2 linked regions of the Arabidopsis thaliana genome follow. The protein of the gene in region 2 interacts with the protein of the main gene of each other region in a pairwise test. Each region holds a gene or a part of one and is shown on either strand. Other genes may lie near its edges. The genes, in order: KNAT4 and OFP1.

Region 1 (10,665 bases), 3.2 Mb from region 2:
TGACTGTGTGAAGTGAAGTGAAGTGGGGAAAATTGAAAAAGAAAAGCGAAGCAAAAACGCTTTCTCACATGTTTTGACGTTTGTGTTGTTACATAGTGATACCTACCACTTGCCACCGGTCGACATGTCTCTTTCTCTTCTGATGCCTCAAATCTTGCTCGTTTTGTCTACTATACATTTTTAGTGTATTATACTCTTTTCTACTTTTTCCCTTACAACTATCTCTAGACTTGATCTCCTATCGAGTCACAACATTCAATATCAATCATCGTCATTGATTGTTTCCATTTTAGATATTTGTATCCACCATTAGTCCAGTACATTTTCTATATAAATCCATAGTGTTTCTAATTAACAAATGTATTATGATATGTTTTAAACATATATTTTGTAAATTGTAAAGGTGTAATTTTTTTTTGTCAACTGTAAAGTTTGCTTTATCAAAAAAAAATAATATACTTGCATCGTGTCCCCAACGACGAATATAGATATGCCATAAAAACTAATGAAATCGTGACGTCCTCAACTTGCAATTGTTACCGTACTACATAGATGAATTCCTTCATCGCATATTAAAAAATATCTTAAAATATAATATTAAGATGTAATGTCAAACTTCATTGAACGTTATTTCCTCGTATTGGTGTTCGAGGAAGAGCTTCTTCTCCCATAAATATCCTAATCTTTTAGAGAAACACCAGATGAATCGAATATTTGTATCAATGATTATCCTAATATACTTACATATAAAAAAATCAGAAAATGTTCCTCATAGATTGGCTAACGTGTAACAGAAAGAAGCGCGCGATAAACTAGAGAGAATGTTGAACTTCTTTGTCGTCCTCTCTGTTTATATTCTCTATCTATCCTCCAGTTACCCACTAACACTTTTATTTTGTGTACTTTTTCTGCGTCACTTTCAGATAACGAATCTTTGATATCTTCAGCAATTGTGAATTGATTTTGAAAAGAAAAGTATTATCTATAAGGACAAAAGAGAAGAAGAAGAAGCAAATTGTTTTCGTCGCTGCTGCAACATAACGGATAACACAGAGTCACAGAGAGCTAGCTGTCTTTTATGATTGGGCCAGCTCTAAAATGCTCCTCTCATATGACTGTCTTGTAAGTAGAAGACAAGACCAATCACAAAACCCCACAACGTTCACAATGCCACGTCATGTGCAATCTTATTCTACCTAAAAAGAGACTCTCTCAACTCATACATTATTACCACCACTAATCTAGCTATCTATCTCCATGAAGGATTATAATTGAAGCAAACCTAAATGTGTAAACGGAATTAGAACTAAAGTTATTTATAATCCAATTGATTTTATTATGGTTAAAACAAAACAAAGACCTATGTTTTACTGTAGTCGAATCAAACCAATCCAAAGAAATCGCATTTACTTAAGTTTTACATTGTTAACTAATAACTCGGTCTTAATTGGAAAAACTAAATTTTAACTAAAAATAAAAACAAACTTCTAAAACTATAACTTTTTCATGATCTTATATGGCTATGAGGTATGAACCATTATGTTAATGATTTGTGCTAGTATTGTTGTTAATTATTTCACCAACTTGATTATAAAAAAGAACAAAAAAAAATCTGATTATAGTATGGATAGAAATGGTAGGTCATCACTCAGGTTCAAAACCCTTGCAAGCCAGTTTGTTGATAAAAATGAAAAGTGTTAATCGGCATCCTTAGAAACAAGAGGACTATGTATGAAACGTCGGCGAGCAAACCCTGTAAGGTAGAGAGTCTAGAGACAATGAGGCCCATAATGGACAATAAAGAAAACGCAGGAAAGGGGCCCAAATTGAAAAACTTTATAATCCCTTTTAATAATTTTGACAACGGCGGAGATAATCTCTTTCTTTCGTTTGCTGGCGACCTTCGCAGAGTTTAGATTTTGGCATTAGGGTTAACAATTCCACATAAAAAGTGGTTCCACTCACAAAACAAAACAAAAAAATTGAAACCATTAATTGAGATAATATATTCAAGCTAAATTAATATGTATATTTGTGTAGATTACGGCCAATGATTGCACAAATTAAATGCATAACGAGAAATTTCCATGTTATTCACAAGATATAATGATGGATTGATGGTGGAGAATGGAGATGGCAGTGAAGACTGACGATCCTATCATAAAGTCCATCTAAAACCTCATATTACAAATCATGCTTTGGGGTTTAATTTTGTGTGGCCCTAATCATTACCAAATATGAAAGCCATACCATGTACTGGCACAAAATTACGTCCTACGTTTGTTGTGTAAGAATTCTTTGTCTTCATGCCTCCACCTTTCTATAAAGCTTTTGGATCTCTACATGCAAGCTTGATCTCAACGGTCTCTTCCGCTGTTTTCACCTGCATTGCTTCATAAAGAAAACCCTCCAAATTTAATGACTCCATATATCTTGAAAATGTAACTAAACATTAATCTAACCATACATAAACAAGCTAAACTTTGTCACACCTAACATATATATATTTCAGAGATTGTATCTTATCGTGTGATCATATTTTGTCTTTTCTTGGATACTCTTCCTATAAAGTTATGTTGGTGCAAAGTACCTTCGGCGTTTATTCTTTGAGACGGTAGAAGAAGATGGATTGCTATGCCAATTCCTCTTTCTTTGATTGATGAACCAATTGTTTATCTGTTTGAGCTGCAAACCCGTCTCCTGCACCAACCTCGCCTTATCTTCCTCCTGTCAAAATTTACATGATTCATTTAAAACTTAGGAGATTGAGAAAGCATATGAAGTTGCAAAAATGATGTAGTCAAAGATTTTCGGGACAGAACTAGGTAAAGACCCACGAGGCGTGTTCATGCGAGTGACTGAAGAAGTAGAAAGAGGGAACTCACAGTAGGGTAAGGCCACTTAGAATGAGATTGCCACCATGATTTGAGAACAGAGGTGGTGTCTCCTGGTAATTTTCCAGCTCTTCTCTTCCTCAGTATCTCCTCTCTTATGTCCACAATTTTCTCCTTGTAACCCTTTTCACAAAAACATGGGTCAATATCATTAGTTAAGCTAACTATATATAGTGTGTACCACAATTTTCATGCATATAAGTGCGTGTAAGTACTATGTAGATGTTGCAAACTGACAACTCATCAAACAAGCTTCAGACAATTAAAAATCATAAATTCATTTGAGTCTTTTTGTAGATCAAAAATAAAGTTTTGACAAGTTCTTGGTTGATTGGACTAAATAGAAGCATATTTACTTTAGCTACAACGATATATAATAAGGTGTGAAGGATTTGTTATCATTGATCTTATATATGTGTAGTAGTAAATGATGGATATAGTATATTTCACTAGTTACCTGCTTGAGTTCATGTTTGAGTTCTTGTCTGACTCGTTCCATCAAAGATCTCTCGCTCTCAGTGGGAACTAGAGGACCAAACCCTAACCCATCTAAGCTTCCATCAAACAAATGAGCATCACTCTCTACTTGCTCATCTTCATCCTCAGACATTGTTGCTCCTGTGCCTTCACCAGGAGATACCCCTGTCTCATTCAACAAAACAAGTGTTAAATTAAAACCTCAAGAAGTAGGTACTAAATATAAAAAACAGCATTGAAATGAGAAATAAAATAAAAGAACCTTGTGTCTTTTACAATACTATAGTGAAATACAAAAGTTACCATAACAGCTAAATGACAAATTAAAGTTGATAATTTAGTAGAAGTCTTAAAAACTAACCTGTAAAACTTTGAAGCGACTGTTCAATCTCCCAACAGGCCATAACAGCTTCCATTGCATGAACACGAACATGCTGTTGCAGTTGTTCTTTGAAAGAGCAAAGCAATAGTACATAATGCGTCTGCACAAAAACATGGAAATATCTTTCAGACAACAGATACAATCATACAAATACGTCCATGAACAGTAAAATATGGGATATAGATACAGAAAGTGACAAACTAGTTTTTGTCAGATCACTGTATCCGTAACTGCAATCAATGAAATTGCTCAATCACTTACACTCAGCAAAAATCTATCTCAAAATAAACCTTATGCTGTCAAATTACTACTGTGCAAAACTAATATCCAAATTTTTAACTGACGATTTATCCAACCCACTGATCATGTCTGTCGGTGCAAAGTACAAGTCTAGAAAGAATTTTTGATTTTCTTCTCTAATTTACTTTTATAAATTTGGAGATAATTAACAACAAAATATTCAAATTTGTCAAACCGTTTTAAATATAAAAGATGAAAGTAATTTTTAGTGATTTTATTTTCCAAAAGAAAAGAAAAGGAATAAAATAATGGGAATTGAGAGTGGTAAGAAGGAAAGAGAAGTTAAGTTACCATGAAGTGGTCAAGCTCCTTGTCATCGCCGGCGAGGAGTCCTTGAGCGGCTTCTAAAGTTGAGTACTTAGCCACGACGTTTTGAGACTGAGCAAGCTGTGCGTCTATCCTCGGAAGCTGATCCACCGGCGTTGCGATCCTCAGGCACGCCACGTGTGCCGACAAAAGTTGCTCGTATAGTGGATGAGACAGTATCTCCGCCTTGTGTCTCGCATTCTGCCACCTCTCCGCCTCCTTCTTCTCTCCGATCATTGACTCCTCTCCGCCGGGAACGTCTTCGATGACGTCACCGGATGTTTCGTTGTTGTTGTTGTTTGCGGTGTTGCCTCGTTGGAGGAAGGATGAGGATCGTGAGAGCCACTGGTTAGCGGCGGCGGAAGAAGGAGAATCGGAGCTTGTAGCGGCGGCAGAGGCAGCTGTGTGGAGATTGAGGAAGTTGTTGTCGGAGCGGAGGAGCCAATTAGGGGGTGCTGATTCTTGAAAATGTTGTTGCTGCTGCTGTTGCGGCGGAGGAGGAGGCTGATGTTGTTGTTGGTCGGTGAAATGATTAAAGTGATTGTTATGAAACGCCATCGTTTTCGTGTTGAATTTGTTTTTGAATTTCTGTTTCGGAGAGGGAAAGATGAATTAAGAAGAAAAAAAGAAGAGAAATTCTTAGCTTTGATGTTCAGATTTATCAATCAATTATAGAAACTTTCTTCTCTAAAACAGAAAGAAAATGAAATATAAGGGTTTCGATGTGTATGTGTGTTTGACGGTTTGAATTTTATATGTAGCTTACACCAAAAAAGACGATTTATTCCTATATTTATTCTTCTTCTTTTATTATTAAATTGTAGAGTACCAGCTTTTTGGTGATCCATAATAAATTGGGATTAGGTCAGATTACTAACATTTACAGCGACAACAAAAAGTTTTATCGTTTTACAAAAAAAAGAGATGGTAGAAGTTGACGGCAAAAGAATGATACGAATTACGAAGTGACAGTAAAAGGAAATAGCTGCATCACTTTTTCTTCATTCGTTCCTAACATTTTTTTCTGCTTATCAAAAAGAATTGCTCATTTTTGCTCTATTTGTTTTTGGTACCAAGCAAAAGTAAATAAATTACACAAATCTGCAAAGGATTTTAAAACAAATTTTGAAGAATATCGGAGGAAAAAAAAGATAATTTGTTAAAGAAAAAGGAGAGTAGACGAATGGGAAAAAAGCAAGGAAGGAGGGGACCATTAATAATGACGTCACTACTCGGCGCCAAAAATATCGGAGGACACGTGTCGTGATAACGATTTCCTCTAATTGTGGTCCCTGAAGAAATTGGCATGCGATAGATCGGATAAGAGAATCCAGCCGTACAAATTTAAATTTTACATTATTTTGTATTTAGTAACAAAAAAAATACAAACGATTCAAAAATTTAGAGGTGTGGGGGACCAATTTCAGAAATTTGACTTAAGCTTATAGTTGCTGTCTTATCAAAAAAGTACGACAAATTTAATCCCATCATCAGAAAAAACATAAAATTTGCATATTAATTTTGGTATGAACTCATGACTTCTGCTAAAAAAACATGATTACAGATACACGATATCAAATGTTTGGCATACACATATTATCTAGGAATAAATATTTCAGATATTATAGAAACATACATATACTTATACTTTGTTAATTTGATCACTAAGCATTGACAAAATAAACAAATAAATAGATTATATACTTATGTTACAAGCATATAAATTTTTGCATGTGGTTCCAAATGTTTTTAATATGAGAATTGGAAGCAATACAATATAAATATCCATCGATTTGTATCAAACCCATCTAATGTACTTATTAGGAATGTGATGCAAAACAATTCGTAACCGTCTAATTAAGCTCCATCACTTAGACTAGTCTAACCTATATCCACGACCACTCCTGTCTCTACCTTGTTAAAAGTAATTTAACTTTAACCTACTCATACTTTGATCAAGCTTCGTTACTCATACTTTGATCGAAGTTGGTTTCTCTATCTCGTATACCAATTGTTCAGTTTAAATTTATTCTTTGATTTTGTATTCATAAGAAAAGTTAAATCTTTTGTTGTCAAGTCAAAATTTAACCGGTAAAATTGGCATTAATATATGAAAGTAGACATTTCTTAGAACTATCCAATGATTAGTGGTAATTTATTGAAGGTTGGTGGCCATTGACTGCTTCCAAGATTTGGCCATTGAGTGTTCTATTTGCGTGCGATACACGCGAGAGAGCCGATGAATGAGACTAAACGACAAAGTTGAATCCACCAAAATATCCAAACAGTAAGGTCTGAGTGATGATGAATAAAAGAGTAGAGACATGTGTCAAGTAAACTTCCAGTGTGATAAGGTCTATGTTTCGTGTGGAATCAGCTAACACATGATTGGACAAAGAGAGTCACATTAACGATCACAGTCGTCCATTTCACAACAACTCTTGTCGTCCCTACACTCTTTTCTACGAGAAACGACGAAGTTCCCTACGGCCTACGGCTCCAACTAATCACTCCTTCATTTTTATTTTTATTTCCTTACCTTATGGTTAGTGAAACATGAAATATATATATAAAAATCTTGTAATTACAATGTGCCAAGTTAATTGTAATCACCAGTAAATCTTGAACTCGTGATATGCATTGTGCTTTCGGACCTCGAGATTACTGATTGAACGACCACCACCGATTATTTTTTCTTTTTTGAATAAAAATCACCGATTATTTCTTATTTCACATTCACATAAACAAGCCTTGGATTTGGACCTACTTAATTATATTGATTGTCTAGGACCAAAGCTAAGAGTAGGGTGGTACAAAGAATCTTAATCAACAACTTGTGCTGTCTATATTAGGGACAGAAACAAAATCATTAATTAATTAGTTAATGATAATTGGGGTTGTTAGCAAAAATCTTGTCTAGTTTACAATTTTTTTTTTTTTTTAAATAGTCATTGATACATAAGCCAATGAATCTTCTTTATGGAAACACTAATCTATAGTGGTTTGCGATTGATTTTTAAACTTTATTGACTAACAAGATTATTAAAACCGTGCATTTGCCAATCAAACAAACAAAAACTAATATGGAACTTATATGAAAATTTTATAATATATAGACGCAGCTAGCCTTGAATAAGTATGTGATGATCGTAGAGATTGTATTTGATCGCTGGCCTGGTGACTTGTCAACTATCGCCATTTGATTATATTTATCAATATTGAACACAAGAACTTAACACACAAGACAAAACAATGTCATCTCAGCAAAATAAAGATATTCAGTTTTGTTGGAATTTTTTTTTTCTTTCCTAAAAGATGTTTGTAGAAACAGTGAATCTAATACGAGGATGATGCTCATAATGATGATGCTTTCTTTTGTTAATTTGTTTTGTTGTACACTACTTGGCTTGTGATAGATGAAAATTACAAGGAACCTAACAATATAGACAACATATACATCAAAACATTGAGTTAAAAGAACATAAATACTTTATTTTATTATAAAGATAGAGTAGAGAAAGAACATAGGAAGCTTTTTGTCAGGTTTGTGGATGAAAATGATGGAACGTAAAGGATGTTTTCTCTTCATCTTTCACTTTGTTTTGTAACGATGCCAAAGTTGTTCCTATAGTGAATTACTTTCTCTTATTGCTTTGATTATTGTTCGTAATTCACATTATAGCGTATTAGAGTAAGTCTAATACGCCCTAACAGTTCCTTTGTTTGAGAGAATTTTCTTACATAGGATTTTTCTTTTTCTTATATCTTATAATTTTTTAGTAAGTCTAATACGCCCTAACAGTTCCATTATATTAATGTATACTATAGAGTTTTTCATGTTCACCGCGATCATGTACTATCCAGTTTTTAATAAATATACGCATTGAGAGGGGGGAATGTTGTTGGATGAAATTTATTGAGAGAGATAACTGGGTTATGTTTTCTTTCAAAAGCAGATAATAAATTTTTTTTTGGTAAAACAATATGTTATGTGAAAATAGATATACATATAAAACAAATTTTAATTGGTTCAAGATTGACCATATAATGGCATGCACTCATATCGTTAATGTCTCAAAATCCATATTCAAAGTTGTATAATGCATGTTATTAACAATAAAACTGGTTAATTAAAGATATTGTGTAAGTCATATCGGTACAAGACACAAAAACCTCATTTATCAAATTTTATTAGAATCTGATCTTCTGCTCCAAAAAGATAGAGAAAACAAATCGTAGTCCCCTCCATGATATAAAAGAAATCTAAATGATCATATCAAATAATAGAGAAAGTAAGGGAAATGTTCAAACGATCCTACAAAAAGAAGATAGAAACGTTTCAAAGTAGACAAAACGGAGAAAAGAAGAGTGATTTGGCCTCTCTTGAGAAAGAGAGATTGGGGTTATCCACATTGCTGAACAAGTCTTTGGTTCTTCTTCTTACTCAATTAGTTCTTTGGTTTTGGTGAAGACATTGTTGTGTTGTGACCATTACTTATTGTGCCAAAAGAATATAGAGTTATGACTGGTGAAAAGTCTCCTTTCTTTCTATAAAAATACTTTATTTTACATGTTTCTTACAACGTTAATTTTATATATATTTTAAAGGATATCTTTGGACAAATAAAAGATAAATTAAATCAGCTATGATGCTTATGTTTTTAGTGACGTACTGATGTGTGTCTCTTACTCGTTAATATAGTGTGATGTTGAGTATGTATTGTTGTGAGCATGTAAAAGTTTAATGAGTTCCATGTCCATGTTATTTTGAAGTTTCATGAGTTTCTTCTCATTTTAATTAGGGTAATTTTTTTGAAAAAGTTTTGTAAATTTAGGATAATTTGTGTATTAACACTAGTTATACATATATAATATTTTAATATTGATGGATAACAGATTAAAGAAAAAAATATGTCATACATAATCAGTGAGTCATGCAATATATATATTTTGTCAGAAACAAGAGTTCATTCTTGATCAAATAATGTTGTAAATGTGTCCCCATCCAACCTTTCTCTTATATAACTTTTGATGAGATGTATAAGCGAAATAAGTGTAGTATTATAAGCTTTTTATCTTATTATATACTTTTGAATTGTACATTAGTGAGATGGAGACGTGAGAATGTGGCCATATTCACATTTTTGTAGATTATTGACAATGAAACGTTGAATTGTTGAGGTTCTTAGAGTATATATTTAGAAGAATAAAAGATAAACACAGATGAACTAGGATATATAGTAATATAATCACTTTTTACTTGTGTTAATAACATGGATTATTAGGTCTAAAGTTGGATGACGACACAAAAAATAATATTAATACACTAAATCAACAATAGTATTGCCTCAATAGTACAGAGTAACATAAAACATGTCATATGTCTTGCTAATATAAGAGTGGCGTAAGTGTCCGCTTCTCTTATTAACACTCAAAGTTAGGCTTTGTCCACTTCCAAAATTGGACCACAAAACATCAAAAGAAAAGAAAAAGAAGAAGAATTTTCAATGAAATTAAATTCTGTAATGGACCACTTCTACACTCTTCTGCTTTCTTCTTCAATGCTTCTCTGTGTTGTCCATATCTCTCCGCATTGTTTGCTTACTTTTAGTTATGCATTTGCCATCTATTTGGGAATCTTAGGCCAATCTGAAGTAGCATATTTACTTATCTCTTTTTCTTTATCTTTTTGGTTTCATTAATCTTGGAATCCGATGTGGCTCAAATTGTACTCATTGAATGTTGCAAGGCTATATGGGAGTCAACAGTTTGGGTTGGATTACTATATTCTTTGCCCTCTCAGGATCATGGTAAAACCAAATTAGTTGCAAGCTCAAAGTTTTATAACTTACGCATATTAAGTTTTCGTTGGTGACGATATAATGGTGGAGCTATTATTATTAGCTAGACTCAAGTCCTAACTCACATTTGTACTCAATTTGACACAAATTAATTGACAATGCACCAAATCTAAATTAATTAATAACTCAAACTAAAAAAATGATTCAAAATAAGCTTAAGAAGTTAAGCAAATTACTCGACCTATTCTGATTGTGACAAAATCAAGGTCCGTACCAATTTAATAACTAAAATCATTTAGTCGGCGAGTACGGCTACCTTTGATAACAAATAAGTTATTTCTGGCCCATATTCACTCTTTGGGCCGATCTCTTAGCCTCAGCCCACGTTTAATTAGAAAAACAAAGTAAAGAGATTAGTTATGTATTATCCCTTTATTCATATGCAGTAGAGTTATATCTTAAGTAGCCATCTAAAATATATGATTTCTTTCTGTTTCATTCATAT
Region 2 (10,665 bases):
GTTTAACAACTTTAAGGACCAAATAAATTTTGGGTCAATGGCGAGTTCTCGGACCTTCTAAAAATTTTTAAGTCTTTGAAATTTCCGACTTATAATATAAACTGATTTATATCCACACAAAAGATGTATTGATTTTTGGCACATAATTCTTCGACTAACTTAAAAAGGGGAAAAAAACAATCTATAAGAGTGATGGGCACAGACGGGTTGTGTAAATTGTCTTTATCCAAATAAAAACGAAAAAAATACTAAAATGTGGTTTTATTTCACGCAAGAGTCAAATCCCATAAAGAGATTTGACAATTGACGCAGCGATGATAGGTAAAATAATAAATAACATAATACAAAATGGCCTCTGTTTTGTTGTTTCTGTTACTCTTGCATTAGATGTCATAAACTTGTTAAACTGTTGTGCGATGAATAAAGAGGAGAAAAAAAAGTTCTGATGTGAAATGCACGAAGTCCGTAACACGTGCAAAGTGGTAACTCGATTTTGCCTTCGGCCTCATCCTTTAATTGATATATAAAGAGTAGTATAAGAATAATAATTCATGCAGTGATTATTAGGACCCGAAAAGGACACACATAATGTTTGCTAGGTACGGCTTAATGTTTGCCAAGTCATACAAACGGTAACTGATTTCAATCATCCCAATTAACGATATGAAGACAAAACAATTTAAAAAATGGTATTTCAAACTTGTTTTGTTCAAAAAAGAAAATGTTTTGTAGGTATACTAATAACTCAGCACGCCATGTACCATCATCAATAGCCAAAAAAAACCGCTCGACTAAATTCACTGAGAAACTGTGAACCTCGGTGACTTTCTTGCAAAACGAAAACCCAATGTAATAGTAGTTTTGTTTTTGGTGTGTCGTGTACTTGTTTTATTTGATTCAAAATGAAAATATGGACGGCGGAGAGACAAAGGTCACAAGACGCAGAATCTCCGGTGATAATGTCGGATCGCGCGCAAGGCAAGTTCAGTTAAATGGTCGTTGACCGAGTCTCCACTTGCGGCTCACCGACAATTCTTCGCCATTATTACATCTTCTTCGAAATCTCGATCAACTTCTTAAATTATTATAACACGTATAATTTCTACATAACTAGTCTATATATAACTCTTCTTCCAATTTATTTAATGCAGAGATGGTTCGTACGTAGCTTACATCCAAATAACCACGGTAACGTTGTCCAATTCAGTTTTGGGTTTGATTCTTTCACTTCATATCATAATATGTAATGTACATAATTTTTGTCACTCGGTTAGGTTTATACAGTTCCGTTTTAACAGTGTCATATACTCCTCAATCTTTTTTGCAACATTCGGCTTGGTTGCTATTTACTTTACAATTCTAATTGTTTTATATGTTAAAAATAAAACATAATAAATTCGTTGACATGTACTTCTCTATCTTGTGTAATTATGAAATGGCCCTACTTACAAAAACATTTCACGGAAAAAGAAAGTTGTGCCTTGTGGATTACTTACAACTTTATCTAAAAATGTGCTAGTGATAAGTAAGGAGAGACAAACGAATAAAAACAACTTTTATATATCATTCCAAATAGAAAACGCGTCTATGATACGTCGCAGTTCTAACAAGATACTCTTTCTTAATTTTTTACAAAGGGATCATAATTTATGTCCAAGTGAGAGTTTTCACATCATTTCGTTGTGGAATGGTTTTATTTTCGAAGTATACTATTTACCGGGAAACAAGTAAATTAATTGTATGTTGATATAGGTATAGTCAAGTCCAAATATCAATATTATATTATATTTAGAAATGCTGATTTTGAAAATTCATAGTGGTGGGGGTACCCGTACATCACACGGACACTGGCCACCACCAGTAAAGAAACACATTATTATACATTTATAATTTGTTTCTAATAGGTATCTCAGATCTTTGTAAATTGTTGTCTTTGTACCCGTACATCACAAGTCCATGTTTTAAGCAAGAAACTTAAATTAAAAATCTGGGAGTATAAACGTCTCATACTTATTATTGTGTACTCTTACTACCATGCGATGATATCAAACAATTTAATTTAAAGTATTGTTGTACTTATATTTTTATTTATATAAAAAAGTATTGTTGTAATTTTTCTTAACAATTTTACAAAAAATTCGTTGTAGTCCATGGCCGGCGTGCCCGACAAAGCTTTTGAACCTTTTTTTGTATGAGTGTGTATTATCGTATCGAAAAAAAGAGAGATAGATTTTGGGTACTTTTTACTTCACCTTTTTTGGTCCCTGTTTTGAACTTCAGTCAGTGTAATATTCACTTTTGTGCAACAGTACTTAACTCCGCACACGTATATGATTTATTATTATTATTATTCAATATATAGGTTGATGTTTTGTAATGTATTTCAATAGAAATCTTACCACATAATTCTAAATTTACTCATATCTACTAATTATTAGTCTAGTTTGAATGTGAACATTTATAATTGAATATAATCTTCATGATATACAGTTTTTTCTTTTTTTTCTATGAATGTTAATTTCATTGAAAATGAAATGTAAAGATATTACAACAATACCTAAGGATCTAAGAGTAATCTTGGCAAAAAAAATTATTGAGGAGTTTGATAATACAGTATATGTTTTTATTTATTTATTTTATAACGGTGAGAAATCAACGAGCAAGTTTCGTTTTGTAATCTGCTTCTTTCCTTGGAAACCCATAAAACCTAAAATATGCTTTGTCAGTTTAATGTCGCGTGAGATTCCTTTTCAGTTCCTATTTTTATATTTTAAGAATTCCACAATTTTCTTTTAAGATTGATGTTTAACTCTATTAAACCAAAATCTCATGGAAGATTTACATAAAACAAAATGACATCAATATCATGATAACGATACAACCATAAAACACAGAAGCAAAAGTTTGCCAGTAAGAACCATTCATCACTAATTTTATTTTATTTTACTATAATATCTACATATATTCATATAATTTTTTTTTTTCCGATATGTTACCTTTTCCTATATATTCTCGTCATTTGTCACCCATCACTGATATAAATAAATAAAAAACAGCCAATTGGATTTTTTGTTTTCTTTGGCACTTATATGCCTAAAAGTAAAAATGTTTTGTTTTCTTCTTGCTTGTCGCACTGTTTGTATGTGTTATGCACTGCATGCATATACATATAAATATTATACAAAACAATACGTCGTGGTCAATTTTTTTTTATTTTTTAAAAAGTTAACTACACATATAAATAAATAAATATAGATGTGTGTGAAATTGAGAAATGCACACGTACACACATATCCAAAGTTAGGTCTGAAAATAGGCGCAGATGCTGTTTTAATGAGTTGTCGGCATCGTAGGTCTAATATAATGGATACACTAAATATAAAACGTTCACTATTAGTCTTAGTCTATAACGTGATGCAGAGTAATTGTTGTCAACATGAACACTTGCTAACTCATGATCACAATGAATGAGTTTCCAATCATTTTTAAATCTCTTTTAAAAAATTTAGACTTGAAGAGTGAGCTGTATATATAGTATGATTGATGACGCAAAAGTAGGTTTATAGTCGTCCACATTCAAAATTTGATTTAAAGTAACACTTGCTTGTCCGTGCAAAGTAAGATTCGTAGAAGAGTACCAATCCGGATAGAAAATTCCTGTACTTGATATCATCAACGATGGCCGTTATGCAAGTACAAGACTGTAGGCTCTCTCTAGACCATTATTACATATAAATATAGTTAGTACAAGAATCATCATCATCAACATCATATATATTTACATTTTTATTCAGTAGAGCGATTAATTATTAAGGAGTAATTAATACTATATAAGAAGATGTTTTTTTCTTAATAATAAAATTATTTGGAATGGGGTGGTGGAAGATTAAGATCAAGCCAGATTTGCTTGAAGACATTGATGATAATAGCGTGATATTCGTCTGAATTGAGACAGAGATAGCAAGCCAAAAGCTCCTCTAGATCCTTTGTCGCTCTTATCTTGTTCTCAGCGATCATCTCCTCCATCGACTCCTTAAAGTCTCTCTTCGGATCCACCGACGCCTTCACCACCGCCCTGCTCCGCCGAGCCGACGACCCGCTTCTTCTTGCGCTGCTGCTCACCGAGATCCGCGGCGACCGCATTCTAAGTCTCACCCCCGCCGGAGAATTCACCGCCGTTTTCCGTGCGGTGGCGGCCGTTTTGGTAATGATGGGCCGGAGTTCGAGTTCCGGCGGCGGCGTAAAGGTTGCGGTTTTGGATAACTTGGAGCTGCAAGGGCTGTGCCAGGAGCCCGTTAATGACTCGTCGGGGAGGAGAACTTGATCCGAGCGAAAGTCCGGTGAGAAAGAACCTGTTTCTGTGGTAGTGCTGTCGCCGGAAGTCGTGGAAGACTTAGAGTCGACGGTGGCTCGGTGACGAAGACGGTTCCCGGAGGACTTCCTGGGAGGATGGGAGGGTGGCGCTTTGGAAGAGTGAGAAGGGCGCCTAGGAGGCCTAGGACTGAGTGGCGTTGTGGACGTAGGAGTAGGGACTGCGTGGTGTTTCTTCTTGGAGGTGGTGCTATTTGGTTGGCTCTGAAGATTCTTCTTCTTGGATTTGGACATGTCTCTAAGTTTGTAAAACCAAGCGTTAGGGATTAACTCCGATAGCTTAAACCGATAGTTATTACCCATTATCTCTCTGACTCTCTCTGTTGATTATTTTGTGTTTGTTGGGGACTTCTTTGGTACATGAACAAAAGTGAGAGTGTGAAGAGTGGAGAATTTATAAAGGAAAGAGAGGTTTATGTGAGGGGGCCCACATACGTGGAAAATATAAAGGTTATTATAAGGTGAGTGAGATGCTCTCTCCATTTTCATTGATTTTGTGTTAGATTATGTTGGCCATTTCATTTTCCCCTAAATTAAATTACATTGACATTTGACACTGACACTTTTATTATATGTTTTAGTAATAGTAATACACAAGTAGTGTTCGTACCAAAGAAATAAATAATAGAGTAATTACTAGTTTGTATATGTACTAATTACTAGTTTAATCGTGGTCATTGTAATCCTTTTAAAATGTGCACCACGATGATATTAAAAAGTTGTATCATCGATAGTGTAAAAAAAGAAAGTGGTCACTCACTTTATTGTGTTACAGTTTCCGTAAGTAGGTGTTTGGGTTTGACAACAAATAAAGAAGAGAGAAACCTGCTTTTTTCAAACATTATCGCACGCTTCGAGATCTGGGATCTCTTGCAAAACAAACCAAAATTTTAAAATGGGCCTATATGTTTTCGGCCCAATAGTTTCACTTAACGATAGCACCTCTTATATTTTCCTCTTCATCAATTTTAAACTCCAACTAAAGAATCTGTCAAATTGAAACCAAAAATAATAATATTACAGAGACACAAATTTGCCAACTTATTCATGGTCATTTTATACACGTTTAAACAAACAAACAAAAAATAACACGTTACATCTCTATGTATTTGTTCTCTGCCATGGTTAACTGATGGTTGTAAAAAGTTACAGAACAGCTTTTCCTTAAACATCAACTACTCTGCTTCGATGAAAAACTCCAACCTCACTCTTTGGTTTGAACATATTTCTTGTCTCTCACTCCGCTTCATAAATTCTCAACACCGTCACTCTTTTCCTCAAATGTGTTTTCTGGTTTTGTAATAGTTCTGTAATAAAATTAACCGTTTAAAAAAGAGGGAAAGGAAGAAGAAGATATTTTATTTAATGCTTCGAAAGATCCAAAACGTAAAAAAACAACAAACAAAAAGGTTTGCTTCTCTAGGAAGAAAGATTGTTGCTATTTGCAATCAGTTCCATTTCCAATCATCATCACTCCTTTAGGAACATGCTTGTGTGTATATCTCTTGTGGATTTGCTCTGTCTTTTGTGTTGAAATTTTGTGCCAATTCTTTTGTCTCTTTATTCACACACATATGATAACTCTAATATGCTTTCAAGATTTTTATTAGTTCCTGTCAAAACACTAGTTATGAGTTATGAGAGATTAGTAAACAACATCATAACACTGTGTAAAGTTCATCCAGTAAAAGGGAAAAAATCTCTCGTTCTTTTCTCGAATTTACATTTACAATTGCAGCTTTTAATACTTTGTAAAAGAATCAATTTCTTTTCAAATCATCAGGAAAGAAAAAAAAAACATTTAAACTTTACACAAGAAGAAGAGGGGAAAACAAAAAAATGAAAAATCATAAAACTGGACTAAAAATCCTACTTGGCGTTGGCACTACAATGCTCTGCGTTTCCGCCGCCGTGTTATGGGTATCTCCGGCGGCCCACCGTCTTAGATATCTCATCAATGACGCCGCTTTCCTCCCTCCCCTGGCCGTTCCAGCTCCTATCATCTCCCATATAACCCTCTCTATCCCTGGAATAGCCGCCATCTCCGCCACTAGCTCCGACCCTCCTTTCCGACACATCGTGACCAGCGTTGCCGCCGCACTCTCCCTTGTGGTATCCGCTCCTTCTCTCATCACCTCCCCCAAAAGTCGAATCAAACTGAAAGCGGCAGAAACCGCCATGAGTCCTCCCCTCCTGACCACCGCCTCCACGACAGCCACCGCTTCCTCCGGTAGCTCCTGGAATGCATCTCCTGCGGCTCCCATTACCCCAGCCTCAACGAACCTCCCCACGTTCTCTCTCTCAGCCACCAGGTTTAGGATCGCCACGAGCGCGTCTCTCTTAGAGCTGGTGGGGCCCTGCTTAGCCAAGTCAACCAATCCGCTTACGACACGTGCTTTTCTCCCGAGTCTTCTTCTGTATGCCGAGACGCCCGCCAAACTGAACAATGTCGCGGCTGCGTTAGCCTTAGCCTCCCACGTGGCACCCGAACGAAGAACCTCGATGACGCCGTTTAAAGCTCCGTCAGTTTCCATGATCCTCGTTTTGTTCTGTTCCAGGATGGATAGGTTTAGGATCGTCGTAACGGCGTTTATCTGAAGGCTCGGGCACTCTGTGGCTAGATAACGAACCAGCTTGGGTATGGCTCCAGCCTCGGCTATGCAGGCTCGGGCCACAGTATCTGACTTTGCGAGCGCCCGGAGCTCGAACACGACACCGTTAGAATCTGCCACGGAGAGCTTCTCGATGAGAAACGAAACCATCATCTTCGTAAACTCCACCGCCTCCTTGCACGGCGCAGGTTCTCCGCCGCCGTCACCGTATAATTCGAACGGTATCTTCTGATCGCGGCACCACAAAACGATGAGGTTCTTCAAGGCACGGTTAGGTACGAGGCTGGTGTGTTTGAGGACTTGACCTGTTTTCGGACACGTGTTATGCCCCGATTGGATCCAAAGATCGATGGACTCTCTATCGTATGTTTGACCGGTGGCAACCACCACCGGATCCCGCATCAGCTCGAGGGTGATCGGACACCGGAAATCCGCGGGGATGTTAGCGTCAGATAAGGATTGGTGGCGGCGGAAATCTGGAGCCGGCGTGGAGGGACCGTATAAGACGCACTTAGAGTAACGGACGAGTCCGATAAGAGAGGCGGCTGCGGATTTGGATCTGTCGTCGATCTGATCCTGAATCTCGTCTTCCAATCTCTGAATTTCGTCGGTCAAACTAGCAGAATCGGATAAACCAAGGTCGTTGAAAATCTTGATGAGAGTAGAGTGATCCGGTGAGATCTGGTGCTTGATCCCGGCGATTGTATCGGTGACTTTACGACGGAGAGCAACGTCGCGGGCGTCGACGAACTGAACAGAATCGGAGCATTGTTTTGTAAGGAGAGAGATGAGATCTTGGGCGTCGTCGCTGAGGTCAAAGTCATGGAGCGGTAAAATATCAAGAACGGTGGATAAATCGGTGACAAGCTCGTGAAAGTTGAAGGCAACGATGTCGATCTGCAAGAGTAGCCAGAGTTTGCTAACACGAGAACAGTCATCGATCAAAGACTTGATACGTTGCATAACGATTTGCATTTCTTCGAAGCAGAGATGAGCGGATTGAGAGTAGACGACAAGTTGGGAACGAGGGAGAAGAAGCTCATCGAAGACGGAAGCTAATATCTTCACTTTGCGAATGAGGGAGAGAGAATTGCGTCGGAGAATGAATGGGAGAGGCTGCATAGAAGAAATCTCATGAGACGCCAGAAACAGAGACCGAGTCAGTTTGGTATCTGAAGAAAGCTTCGGAGATTCGAATGACCCGACGACCAAAGGGCGACGTTTTCTCGCCGGAGAAGGAGAATCAAGAGTAACAGCCATTGATGAGGAAGAAAGACTTTTGTTTAGGAATGGAAAAGAGAAAAGGAAGAAGAAAGAAAGAAAGAGAGCTCTAAGCTCTTGTTGGTTGTAGTTGTTGGTTTGTTACACGGAGAGAGGAGCTGGCGTTTCAAATTTTCCTTTGGTTAAAGTTATTTAATTGGAAGAAAAAGTCGTAACGGAAGAAGAGACGACGGTGGACGGAGCCGTCAGAAGAAGTCAGTCAGTCGCAGAGAGGACAAAGCCGCCTTACAGAGGAGCACGAGAGGCGAGAGGTCAAACATTCCCTTCTCTTTTGACTTTTTCTCTTATGGTAATGTTTTTTTGGCCGAAATTAGACCAAACCCAATTTTTATTTCACAACTAACCCATAGGCCATAACTTAGCTTAGTTTTAATCTAAAACCAGTTTTATCTAATGACTGCTTTGGATTTTCTTCCATAACTACAGTTTTTTAGAATAACACACGCCTACACGCCTCGTGAGTTGTCGAGCAACACTGATTACAATATATAAGAAATGTAAGAATGAAGATAAGGTCTTCGTTTTGGTGACATAAGAATGCAACAGTTGGTACAAGTTTGTTAGAGAGAATTGATCTCGTCTTCTCTTTTTCAATATATTTAAATTATATATACTCACATAACTAATCATTCTAATTTTTTCATAATTTATAATTGAATCTGCTCTGCTGGCTCTCTCCACTTTCCGGTGAATTATTGAATACTAGTAGTATTTCTCAAATTATATAACAAAATGTTTCCATTACCAAAGTTACCTTTCCTTTTATTTTAAACGAGTAGTTTCCCTTTAAAGCAAATTATGAGATGTTTGCATTTTTAAAATTTTACACAAAAAAATTATTGTTTAAATTTTTTTTTTTCTTGTTGTTGTTGTCAACCAAAGAAAAGATCCACATAACAAATCAAGAATCATCACGCACTTCTCAGTGTCAATTTAATATAATGGCTATTGGGTATCTATTTAAATAGTTGAAAATTGAGAAACAATAGAATGTAGCTTATATGGATTGCAATGGCACCACTCATACGCAATGCCTTGATGTACAGACTTAAAAAATTGGATTAATTATTGTAATAATGTCTACAAAGTTCCAATATCTATATTGCTTTTTTATATCGATCAACTCACATCTTATACGTTTTTATTAAAACTATTGGACATGGGAACATTGAATTTCTTATTCTAAGTTTATGATTTTTGGTAGGGATGATGTTATTTTTGTTTTGGGTCTAAATCCAACACTAGGCTGAATAATTATTATAACACAAATAGTTTATTGAATTCTATCTCGGACCCAAAAAAATAAATAGCAAAGCATTTGGGCCAATAAAATAAAGGGAATACATTTGGGCTTTCTTATGAGATTAAATTGATTAATAGTTCCGTCGTGAGGGCTAATAATATACAAGAACAAAGAACTTTGGGCCATTTAATATGTATAGAAGCATTTATTGGGCTTTTCGAGGATATATAATTAGTGTTGTTGATACTGCAGCTAAATGTCTTGGAACTGTTCATACTTCATAGGCTGTGTAACGGAGCCAATTTGTGTCTAATCTTTTAAAAAATACTAATTTGTTGTTACTACCTTAAACGTGTTTGAAAAGCCTGTAGTGATCGGGTTTGATCAATGATTACATCATGGACTTCTACAGATTATTCACGTTGTTCCATTATTTATCTTTTCAACCCAGGGAAAGTTTGGGTTAATGGTTTATAATCTTTTTTTTTAGTGCAGAATCAACATTTGATAATAGTAGTGATGGATCAATGAACCTGAAATTGTAGGATTAAATCAATAATTTTAACAGTTGAAGGTTGAAACCATGTTTTTTTGTTTCTGCTGGAATTTCATAAATGTAGTATATAATTATCTTTGCGTTATTTTTTTTTGGTTGTTGTATATAATTAACTTCGACTATTTACTTTATTATCTATTGCAATTCATATATACTCACATCACCGTATGTGGGGACTTCATTACGTAAGATTATTCTAATTCACTAACACTTATTTTTTGGTCAACAGTAAGCAATCTCACGATCAATGAGTGCCTCCTTCAGCGTTGTCATCTGATTTGTATATTACGCGATGCCCATAAACTATATGATAAAAAAACATACATTTAGTTAGTTAAATATGCACATCACCGTTTAATTATTTGCGAGGAAGCAGACAAAATTATCCCGACTTATGCTGACTCACTCCACATACTCGACACAATTCTTTAAGTCCATATAAAAATTACTTCAACGTGTATATATGTATTGATTTTTATTTAATATATATGAAAATGGTTCATAATAAGAACCAGATATCGAAGAGATTTCACCATCAAGGTATCGTCAGACCAAACATATGATATAAGCATTATTTAGTTTTATACTAGTATTTCTTGCAC

Evidence for each region.
Region 1: the proteins of OFP1 (region 2) and KNAT4 interact in a two-hybrid assay, tested with the Arabidopsis thaliana proteins (one large-scale study listed by BioGRID).

Annotation. Positions count from the first base shown.
Region 1 is NC_003076.8:3,504,660-3,515,324, reverse strand, and holds KNAT4 (homeobox protein knotted-1-like 4), read right to left. Parts: upstream 5,493-10,665; 5' UTR 4,918-5,492; coding exon 4,345-4,917; intron 3,854-4,344; coding exon 3,733-3,853; intron 3,537-3,732; coding exon 3,352-3,536; intron 3,018-3,351; coding exon 2,886-3,017; intron 2,728-2,885; coding exon 2,591-2,727; intron 2,392-2,590; coding exon 2,358-2,391; 3' UTR 1,584-2,357; downstream 1-1,583.
Region 2 is NC_003076.8:318,561-329,225, reverse strand, and holds OFP1 (ovate family protein 1), read right to left. Parts: upstream 4,799-10,665; 5' UTR 4,675-4,798; coding exon 3,862-4,674; 3' UTR 3,548-3,861; downstream 1-3,547. Other genes in the region: SAUR21 (ARM repeat superfamily protein), read right to left, coding at 6,219-8,243.